Coturnix japonica: one gene and its partners. The protein of the gene in region 2 purifies or fractionates together with the protein of the main gene of each other region. This does not show direct contact. Links are inferred from orthologs where the notes say so. Each region holds a gene or a part of one and is shown on either strand. Other genes may lie near its edges.

What was found.
Region 1: the proteins of CEP76 (region 2) and CEP97 purify together in Homo sapiens (co-immunoprecipitation; 4 studies listed by BioGRID and IntAct, with this or other methods). This does not show direct contact. The link is inferred for Coturnix japonica from reciprocal best matches to the Homo sapiens genes CEP76 and CEP97.
Region 3: the proteins of CEP76 (region 2) and CEP290 purify together in Homo sapiens (co-immunoprecipitation; 5 studies listed by BioGRID and IntAct, with this or other methods). This does not show direct contact. The link is inferred for Coturnix japonica from reciprocal best matches to the Homo sapiens genes CEP76 and CEP290.

The regions. Positions count from the first base shown.
Region 1 is NC_029516.1:76,482,383-76,485,844, forward strand, and holds the end of CEP97 (centrosomal protein of 97 kDa), read left to right. Parts: intron 1-634; coding exon 635-710; intron 711-1,205; coding exon 1,206-1,860; intron 1,861-2,295; coding exon 2,296-2,396; 3' UTR 2,397-2,847; downstream 2,848-3,462. UniProt on the Homo sapiens protein: Acts as a key negative regulator of ciliogenesis in collaboration with CCP110 by capping the mother centriole thereby preventing cilia formation. Required for recruitment of CCP110 to the centrosome.
Region 2 is NC_029517.1:87,454,223-87,457,877, forward strand, and holds part of CEP76 (centrosomal protein of 76 kDa), read left to right. Parts: coding exon 1-39; intron 40-800; coding exon 801-898; intron 899-1,336; coding exon 1,337-1,465; intron 1,466-2,732; coding exon 2,733-2,924; intron 2,925-3,655. UniProt on the Homo sapiens protein: Centrosomal protein involved in regulation of centriole duplication. Required to limit centriole duplication to once per cell cycle by preventing centriole reduplication.
Region 3 is NC_029516.1:38,937,781-38,941,435, reverse strand, and holds part of CEP290 (centrosomal protein of 290 kDa), read left to right. Parts: coding exon 1-33; intron 34-1,025; coding exon 1,026-1,133; intron 1,134-1,668; coding exon 1,669-1,868; intron 1,869-2,328; coding exon 2,329-2,542; intron 2,543-2,747; coding exon 2,748-2,885; intron 2,886-2,990; coding exon 2,991-3,212; intron 3,213-3,655. UniProt on the Homo sapiens protein: Involved in early and late steps in cilia formation. Its association with CCP110 is required for inhibition of primary cilia formation by CCP110.

The DNA of each region.
Region 1 (3,462 bases), on a different chromosome or scaffold from region 2:
TCTGTTAACCGTCAGAGGAATGATTCTCACTTTGCTTTTATGATTTTCAAATACGATTCTGTTTTTTGATCACATGAATCTATGTTTTAGGGGGATTGTTATCAAAGTTTCTCAACTTGTAATACAGGAATTGTGGATATATTAATATCGTTCAGGATCAGTCTGGGAACAGTTTGTCAGATCCCTTTGGTTTACTATCATAAATGACAGAAGTTCTGTGAATCAGACTGAGCTCTTGGTGAGCCTATAGAAAATCCCAATGCTTTCACATGATACCTCCACATTTATCTTGATGGCATCAGGTGGGGAAGGCAGAATTTAAAGCGCAGAAGCACTATTTTTCTTCCTTTATCTCCTTCCTACTTCAGGAGAAAGAGACACATCTACTTGAAGAGGTCAGGTTCAGTATGCAAAAAGATCCTTGAAGTATTAGCAAGTCAGTGCATGTTTGACAGCAAAAGGAAAGCAAACTCTTAATTGTTACTTGGACGGACAGCAACTGGATATTGATGACAAGCCAGTGTTGGGCTCAATGGTGTTTTCAGAAGTTCAGAGGGCATTTTTATGTAATCTTGTTGATTTTGTTACCAGGATATTATTTAATTTGCATTATTTTGGATATGTGTTCTTGCAGACTAAGAAAAGAAAGAGAGGAAGATAAGATTCAGAGGCTTGTACAGGAGGAAGCTGTCAGATTTGTTTGGAACCAGGTAAATAGCTGTAGTCCTCTTATTTTTTTTTTGCTTATGAATAGAGAAGATATTTCATACTATAGAGCATGAAGAGATGGTGAGTATGGTTCATTCTTCCAATTACAAGCTCAGTGGCTTATTAGAATCTAATTGCAATGGATTTGGCTGTTCTTTTACTCAGGGGAAAAGTAACATTCAGAAGTGTTAATGCAATAAGCTGTGTTTGTAATAAAGTGATAAAATACAGCTTGATATGAGAAGAAGGACAAAGTGCAAGGAAAACTAAACAAGCATGGTAGGCATGAGACTTGATGCACCTGCTGGATGCTTAGGGCAAGTGAAATAGTGTCGAGCGGTGTTGCTTCTCATCAATCAAATCATTTCTAGAGTAGAAAAAGCATGTATATATATCTTTTAATAAGCTGTTATTTCTTCCCGAGCTTGAATATTTGATTAGAGCTTTGTTGCCAATTGCAATAGCTTAGAAACCTAAGTGCTTTTTATACTTTGCAGGTTAAATCCCTTCAACAGTGGCAGCTTACAGTGACACAACACTTAGGTACCACTTGTCAACCTGGGATCCCTTCAGCCGGTACTTCTTGTCTCTCAGAACCGTCCACTCAAACATCTACTCTTGAGCAAGAAACCCCATCAGATGTCAGTTCTGCTTGCTTAGCTCCAGCTGGTGATGTCCTTCAGGAGAAGCCTTTGTTACAGTTCCCAGATTCTGGCTTTCATTCTGCCATGGCTGACCAGACTCATACTGGTGACTTGTGTACTGATGAAAAGAGTCTAACAGAAGGAACTGAGGGCTCTCTTTCGGTGGAAACCATCAAACAGTGTGGCAATTCTGCTTCAGAACGTTCTTCAGATGTAGAAGATGACGGTGGGGGATGTGAACAAAGCACAGAGAGCTCGAATAACGAGCAGGACAACAGGCTTCTACAGCAGTATTTGGAATCTGTTGAGCAACTAGTAGAGGCGGATGAAGGGACAAATTGCAATGATGAAGGAGAAGAGGGTGGCTGGCCACAAGTTGATATTTCAGCAGAGAGCCAAGATTCTTCATCTGACCTTCTGTCTGTAGGTATCCCTCAAGGGACATCTTCCCCAGCACGAGGTGAAATGAATCAGACACCTGACAGCTGCAAACTAGATTCAGGAATAGGTGAGGGGAAGCAAACAGACTGTGATTCTTCATTTCAGATGCTGCATGTTGGAATAGCTGTATAGTAGGCTCTGTTTCACTAAGGACTAGGGATTCCATTTCAGTTTTGTTTGTTTTTGTTCCCCCATTTATATAAAACTTATTTCCATTATTGTGTGCTTGGATTTTATTTATTCACATTCTATACTCATGTTAACAATTTGTTTTAATTGGCAGTCTGCTCATGTTGCTGAGGACTGACGTATACTGTGCTAGCTTGAAGTCAACGAAGTTCTCAGTGTCTTTCATTATGCACTTTATTTTCTAACACGTAGCTGATATTCTAGTAAATGGCTTCCTTGAAATTAGTTCTGAAGGGGCGCAGAGGGGTGTTGGCTGTAAATTCACCTCAATGAACGTGTTAGTTAGTCTTCTGATTATTTTTTTTCCTTCTAGAAAACAGAATTGAATCCTTGCTCTGCAAAGAGAAAAATCTGATGAAAGAAGATGAAAGCAGTTGCCTTTCAGAGCTTTTGACTACAGCAAGTGTTAGTTAGCATTTCAGATATGCGTTCCATGAATCCTGTGTCCAAGCCAGTGACATCTTACTATCTTTTACTTGAAGCTGCTGGCTCAGAGTTTGGTCAGTTATATAGATTCTGAAACAAAGACTTAGAGGAGTCAGACCTTAGGGGAGCTTCAAACAAACTTTGGTCTTTGTTTTCCCTGGGGTTGAATTTCCCTGTTTTTTCTCAGGTAAGAAAAAACTCAAAGTGGAACCTGTAGCAGCCTTTACCAAGTTTCAAAAGGGCATGTGATCTGGGAGCTTAGTTTCCAAGAGTACACTGCTGACTTACAGCAGCGGACTTAATGATACGTATTTTGCCTCCACGAGGTTGCTAATGTCATTTTGGGATTCATGACTTTCTAGACATGAGTGTGTTTGATGGATCACAACTCCTATATACAGCTATGAATATTAAAAGCAAATGTCATGACTTAAAACTATTGATATCTCTCTTGGTTGTTTCTTTTTTGGGGAAGTTGTTTTTCCTTTTTCTACTTGATGGTATTTGACATTCCAATTATGTGTAGATAAGAAACTATCTTAATTGCCTGTTGGAAAATACACTTAGTTTCCTAAACTGTGCTTTCCATTTAAACTCCAGGCAAGGAATTGCAGGTATATTTTGTGTAAACCATTTTTTTAATTACTTTTTTTTTTTTTTTTTTAGTGAAGAAAGATTAGGTAACTTGTATGACAAATGCAGGAAGGGAAATTAGTTTTGCCAGTGGATGTTAGATTGATGTGACTTTTAGGGGAAAGTTAGCTTTGCTATTATTGTCTTTTGCAACATGCAGTGAAAAGCCGGTGTTTCCAACAGTTTGCTTATACTAATTCCTCCAAGAACAATACTGCCAGTCGCACAGACATGAACATGTACGCCTACTGCATCTCTCTGAACACACAGATTAACTTCTGGTGCTACTGTGTCACTGAAATCAACTAGCCCTGTCCTAAAGTAATTCTTCTGACCATGTTGCCATACAAAATAACATAGTTGTTGTAAAAGCTTTTGTTGCTTGTCTATTTTAGGTTCTGAACTGAAGTTTACCATAGTT
Region 2 (3,655 bases):
ATGGCATCACAAATGTTGCTGTTGAACTCCTGGGTGTAGGTAAGAATAACTAATGAGCATTTAACGATGAGTTAAAGTATTGCGTACTAAGTTTGATTAGAAGCTTAAAGTAGTATTTATGGTTTGGTTTGATTTCAGTTCAGCTAATCAACTCATGAATTACTTTAAGGTATCAACTCATGAATTACTTTAAGGTATCCTTAAGAAGAGTTTATATAAAGGACTAATGGTCAGATTTTTGTCTTATCAAAGTGTTAAGAATGTGTGTTCCAGATCCTGTGCAATAGTGGTCCCTGTACCTGGGAGCCTCTGTTATCTCCAGGATGTGGGTAAACTATCAAAACAAACATAAATCAACAAATGCGTCTCCAGGAAAAATACCGTGTCAGTGTTCTCAAGTGTAAAATCTAGCTTGTCCTGTGTAGCAGTTATGATCCTGCTCTAACCACAGTGATCTGAGCAGTGAGTTGTACATTCAGTAACAATGGGCACTTGTACACTGTGGCTCTTCCAGTCTATTTGTAGGTGCCTATTCTAGCCCTTACAGAACAGCATTCATCTTGTATGTTCTGGTATCACCTGGAAAGAGGCCCTTAGGGCTCAGATCCAGTTACCAGCTTCTTTAGCCAGGTTATCATTCCTTTCATTCTTGAGTAGAATATTTCAGTGAAGATCTTTGTGTTGTATGTACTTAGAGAAGTTTATGGGGTTTTATTTTTATGATGGTATGATTAAAACTATTATTTGTTCTGTGTCAAATGAATTTGAAAGGACTGATAGGAATGTATTTTGGTTCAAAGGTACAGAATCAAAGGTTTCTGTCGGTGTTTTGAACATCAGACTTGAAATGTATCCACCACTTACTAAGACTCTGTCTCCAGAAATAACAAGCACTCAGGTAAGTAATATGTAGGGGGTGAGGGATGGCCTGTTCTTTTATCAGCAGGGGGGATGCACACTGTACAGTTATTTATGTAGATAAAGGGTCGGTTACTCTACTTGAAAAGCCAGTAAATGGTGGCCCAAAGGTGTTACAGATATTATTCCACACTTAGCAAGGTGAGTAGTCCTTCTATACAGATATGCGTCACTGAAGATGAACACTACTTCAGTCAAGCTTGATATATCAGCCTACAAACAAGAAATGTAAATTGAGTTTTACATTCATTGGATTTTCACTTTAAAATACTATTCTTTAGCATTGGTTGCATGCTGTCATATTAAACTTCATTTTTCATATGCAAGGATCATGTGCTAGTATGTATATTGATTACTTTTTGTTCTTGTTTGGAATTATTATATGTGTGAATGGTTGTGTGTATTTTCCTACCTGTAGTTTACTTTGGAACGTCAGAAGACAGCAGAAAAAGAACGTTTATTTCTTGTGTATGCTAAACAGTGGTGGAGAGAATACCTGCAGATCAGGCCTACACACAACTCAAGGCTGGTAAAGATTTTTGCACAGGTTTGTATATTTTACAAATACACCAATCTGTTCTTCAAGGTGTTTTTTTTAGTCTTAGCTGCATGTTTGAAGTTTGTGTATGTAGAATTTGTATAGATTTATGATGTGGTTAGATTCCATTCAGGGCTACATGTGATACAGTATGCTGACAATGAAGTTTTCAAGACTTGAACTATGTATACTGAAGCTGAAGAGTATGTTTCATAGAGAAAGGCTGCTCCAAGCACCCCTGGTGTAGGAGGTAGAAAAGCCATTTTAGTCTTTTCCTTGAATAAGTACAAATGGCAAATGCTTAAGTGATCTATACAAACTATTGCAGACAGGTTTTATACAGTAATAAGTAGTGGAGTTACTGGATATACTGGAGCAGATCCATATAATATTTGAGCACTCTGTGGTTAATAAAGTAATCTGGCTGGTGAATGTTGCATGGTAGTTACAGATGTGAACAAATCATTGGCTAGTAAGTTACTGTGTTGTAACTTACGTCACAATCACATCAGTTGTTCCTTGGTGACTGCCCCTCAGTAGTAGGAATGGTATGGGACTATAAGGACAGGCTGAGGGAGCTGGGCTTGTTCAGCCTGGAGAAAAGAAGGCTGCAGGGTGACCTCATTGCAGCCTTTCAGTACTTAAAGGGAGCCTACAAACAGGAGGAGAGTCAAGCCTTTGAAAGGGTAGATAACAGACAGCCAAGGGGAAATGGTTTCAAGTTGAGGGAGGGAAGATTTAGGCTGGATGTCAGGGGGAAGTTCTTTGAGAGTTGTGAGGTGCTGGAACAGGCTGCCCAGAGAGGCTGCTGATGCCCCATCCCTGGAGGTGTCCAAGGCCAGGTTGGATGGGGCCCTGGGCAACCTGGTCTACTATTAAATGGCAAGGTTGGTGGCCCTGCCTGTGGCAGGAGATTTGGAGATTCTTGATCCTTGAGGTCCCTTCCAACCTGGGCCATTCTGTGATGCTTTGTGTTTATCATGCTAATATATGAATTTAACTTGTAGAGCAGCAATTTTCCTGGCACAGATGATGAAATAACTTCCGGAAGCAATCCACACCTGCTGTTTGTCTTCAGGGAAGTGAGGTCTTCTCTTCTGGCTTCACCAGCTGTGTACGGGAGTAGTGTCAGCTTCCACGTAAGGGTGTGGTGCATTCATCTCACTGCTGAACACACCTGGTGCAGCCGGAATGGAAGCTTCACTGGAAACTAACAGTAGATAATGGATTGCTTTAGGAAGTTTTAATAGTACTATTATTTCTTTACCACGTTCAGGATGAAAATGGAGTAAACCGTCCGGTATGTTCATATATCAGACCACTTCGAGCGGGCCGGTTGCTAGACACACCTAGACAAGCAGCACGATTTGTCAGTGTCCTGGGTTATGAAAGAGCTCCTGTCATCGGAGGAGGTGGTGGCAAACAAGAGCAGTGGTGCACACTTCTTGCATTCGTATGTAGAAACAAGGTATGTAAAAACAGTCTTTGCATGACAACTTTTATAGTTGGAATGAAGTTAGTCATTTAAAACAGGTTGCAAAAGGTGGACTGAATCCATTTCAGAGAACTCATAAATGCAAATAGCTTTTATAAGATCAAATAGTGGCAGATGTTAAGTATTAGACAAGAGGGCTTTGGAGCTGACTTACTTTATTCAGTGCTGTTGCTTGAATCCTTTTTTCAATGAATCCATTGGACATCATGTGTAATGGTTCCTTAAGGGGGGAAAAATAAAAGCCATCATCACAAACATCCCCTTTTCCTCCTTCAACCCAGCTTATGTTGCTGAGCGCTATGACATGTGACATGGGACATCCTTTGGGTGGTCTGGATCAGCTGTTATCCTGTTTCTGTCCTCTCAGTTCCTTGTGTACCACAGCCCTTTATGGGCAAGGCAGCATGAAGAACTGAAATATCCTTGTGTCTGTGTAAACGCTGCTCTGCAGCACCTGCAATGGTGTGCTGTCAGCACTGTTCTCATAAAAAATCCAAAATGCAGCACCATATGAGCCTCTGTGAAGAACAATAACTCCATTGGAAGTTGTAAAAGCCTGATATACTTTGATATGGTGCATATTAAAAAGAGGAATTCAAGATTCTTAAGTTTGTAACCTTGAAGTCCTGACTTCTGGTGCATGTTTTAGGTAAATAGGAGGGAAACGCGACTTGTTAGATAACAACTGGAGAAATACTGCTTTC
Region 3 (3,655 bases), on a different chromosome or scaffold from region 2:
AAATACCAAGATCTGCTTGCTAAAGCAAGAAAGGTAGTTATGAATTGCATAAACTTTTTTTCCATTTGTAAAGTTTTAGTTGATCTTTTGTTAACCTCGCTGCTAATGGAAAAATTCTTCTTGGTTTCAGAGAGAACAGAATACAATTACTTGTTTTGTTTTTTTCTTTTTCCATAGAAAGTTAATGTACAATTTTTTAACTTCTTTAAATAAGAGGTTTGCTTGGTCAAGTGGTTTATGTATATGGTATATGTCTAGGAATTAAATTTGCATTAAAGGAAGATGATAAAAATTTGCTGGGAGAAGTGGTCTCCATTCTTCCAGAGTCTTTTCAAGTATTTGCAATGGTGATCCGTGTACTTAATCTTGCAGTAAATTTGGAAGGCATATGAAAGTGCATTTATGGAATACACACTTCTTACGTATACTGTCATTTAAAGTATACTTTTAAAGCATAAGCTTGTGTTAAAACATATTATTGTATTCTTAACATTTGTTTGGAACAGAGGCATATATCTGAAGCATAATTGTTTACTTAACATACATAGTTAATTTATCTGAGAGAGATCAAGTTTTAGGATAGGAGCTAAAACAGAAGATGCAGTCTTTAGAATGAACGTACTGTGCTCTGTCTGCTAGTAGACATTTAACCCATAGGATCGCATTAAAGTTAGTCCAAAGTAGGCAGCCCTGAATACTATATAGTATGGATATCACTACCCAGAGCGAGTCACAGTTGGTGAGGAGCACCAGCAGCTGTTTGCTTTCTAGCTCCCGCCATTTTACAGTACACTACTTGCAATATATCTGAAAACTGCAATAGTCACAACTTTCTAGTAGTAAGTGCTGAGAAGATGGAAAAAAAGAAAGGTATAATCATTAACAAGATGCAAAGTCTTTTTAAAAACAGAAGAACTGGAGGAAAAATTGAGGAACAGTACTGAACAATAACTGAAGAATCAGTTTGGAGGGTACTTCAGTTCCATGTGCATCAGTAGAATCACATTTCTATTTTGAACTAACAGGAACAAGAGGAATTAGCAAGGAAACATGAAGAAGATGTAAGAATTCTACACCAGAAGTTAGATTCGCATACTGAGAATTCTTTCAATAAATTGAAACAGACTGCTTTGGTAAGTTGTGTGTATTAGTGGGATTAGTGAACTTGTTCTGTATGTTGAAACTGGTTACTCAAAAGAACAGTTTTGTAGTCAAAATTAAGTAATAATGATGATGAAAAATAAATAGATGGTCAATACAGAAAGAACTTCAGAAATTCTTGAATTTGAGATAGATCAATTAGATGACAAGTGTGAAACAGAAAATTTCTACTTTAGACTACATCATCATTCTTTTTATTCTAATCTGGAGACTTACAGAGGAAGGATGAACGTTTATTTTTTCTTTATTCTTTCTGTCAGTTGCATTAAGTCCATTATAATGCAGATTTTCCTTTGACAATTGATGATAAGGTGACACCCACATGTAATTGGTTATTCTGTAGATTATTCCATGTGCAAAGTTCTTTTCAGCATGATATAGAAATTGTATCTCATTAGCTAAACATTCTAGATACTAACGTTCGGTTAGAACTGAGTTTAAAATGCATCACTAACCTTTGATTTAAAGCATAAGATGTTTATCATACACATTTGTTCTGTTTTACAGGAGTTAATGGAAAATCCTTCTCTATCGCTTAAGAGCAATGAACTCTTCCTCCGTTTAGCTGAAATGGAGCAAACTGTGGCAGAACAGGACAATTCTCTTGCTTCACTTGCTGTTAAATTGAAGAAAACATCATCTGATTTGGAGAAACAAAAACAGATTACTGTAATGAAAATCAAAGACTTTGAGACTATCAGAGCCCAGTAAGTTTTCAGACAGTTAACTTTAAGCTGGTCAGCTATGTGTTGCTGTTACTGACAGGGTCTGCTGAATTGTACATATTTTACCTAATATTTAGGTTTGGCCGAATTTTTTTTTATTTTTTTATTTTTTTCTTGTTTGCTATTCTCAGATTTATATATCATTTCTTTACTCATTAGATGGTAAGACACTGGAACAGCTTGCTGAGAGCATGGATGCCCCATCCCCAGATGCATGCAAGGCCAGAGTGGCTGGGCTCTCAGGCAACCTTAGTGAGAGGCGTCCCTGCCCATGACGAGTGGGTTAGAACTAGATGAGCTTTGATGTCCCATCCAACTCAGCCCATTCTGTGTTTCTACGATGATTTGCTTTAACAACAAAAAATACAACATTGTTGTTTTATTTGGAATTTGCTAGCTAATAATTAAGTGATTTGCCCTATTAATGTTTATTTTACATTAGGCTTCAGGAAAAACATGCAGTTGATGTGGAACTACTAAAAGATGAAGCAAATGGATTGAGGAAGTTGCTGTCTCAAACAGAGAAGGAATTAGCCCATGTAAAAGCTGAACTAGAGGCTCAAAAAGAAGCAAATAAGAGAGCACCTACAGCAACAATGAAGAGCCTAGTGGAACAGCTGAAGAACCAGTTAGCCCTAAAAGAGAAGCAGCAGAAAGTCAGTCAACAAAAATTAAATATCTAGATCACAAATAAAAATTAATGTTTAAAGTGGCTTAATATTTAAGAATTCTATGTATGGTACAGCAAGAAGTGAAACATGATTGCATAATTTAATATAAAATACAGTTGCATTTTGTTGTTTTCTGGTGTTCATATTAGTGGCTTCTTCTCCTACTATAACTTGCATCTTTTATTTTCAGGCTTTGAGTAAAGCACTTCTGGTACTTCGATCAGAAATGACTGCAAATGCTGAACAGCAGATAATTTCTGCAGCATCACAGAAAGAGGCATATATGAACGTCCAGGAAATTGTTGACAGAGAAACTAAGAAGCTCATGGTGAGTACAAGGTAATGTCTTTGTAGTCTATTATTATGTTGCTGGTACATCTTGATGTTTTTTGTTTTTTGTTTTTGTTTTTTTTCTGTATTTTTTTTCCTCTAGACACAGATAGAGGAACTAAATAATCAGATTTCAAAACTTACAGATAATCTTAAACTGAGTAAAAACAGGGAAAGATCTTTATTAGATGAAAGGGATGAGCTCAACCAAGAACTTCAGAGGAAGCAAAAGGCATTTACTAAAATGACAAGAGAAAAAAATGAAATCGAAATGGAAAATGATGAACTGAAGAAACGGATCAAGAGACTAACCAGTGGTATTCAGGTAGAAGTGATTTTTAAAAATGTATTTCACCTTGGTTAAGCTTTTATACTAGATGGGCTGGCTTGATGGAGGAAAGATTAACTGATTTTGACAGGCACTGAGACCAAGAATCAATATAAAAGTGTATGTTTGCTATCAGCTGAGTTACAAATGAGCTATTAGTCTTTCCTGTTGGAAGTATGTCTCAAATAAATTGAACAGGCTAAAAAATACTTTTTTCTTGTAACAAATTTAGAGTTTGAAGAGTTGAATTGCCACTTTTAAAGCTGTTAAGAATGGCTAGCTTGAATTTTGTGACCTTCCTGTTTGGAAGTATAACTGTCTGAACTTTGTTTCTGAATTCAACTAACTAATACTGAGTTCAGTTTAGAATGCAGAGTTAAATTGTTGAAGTAAAGATAATTTTTAAAGGACCATTTAAGTTGTAAGCTAATTCTCCTAAT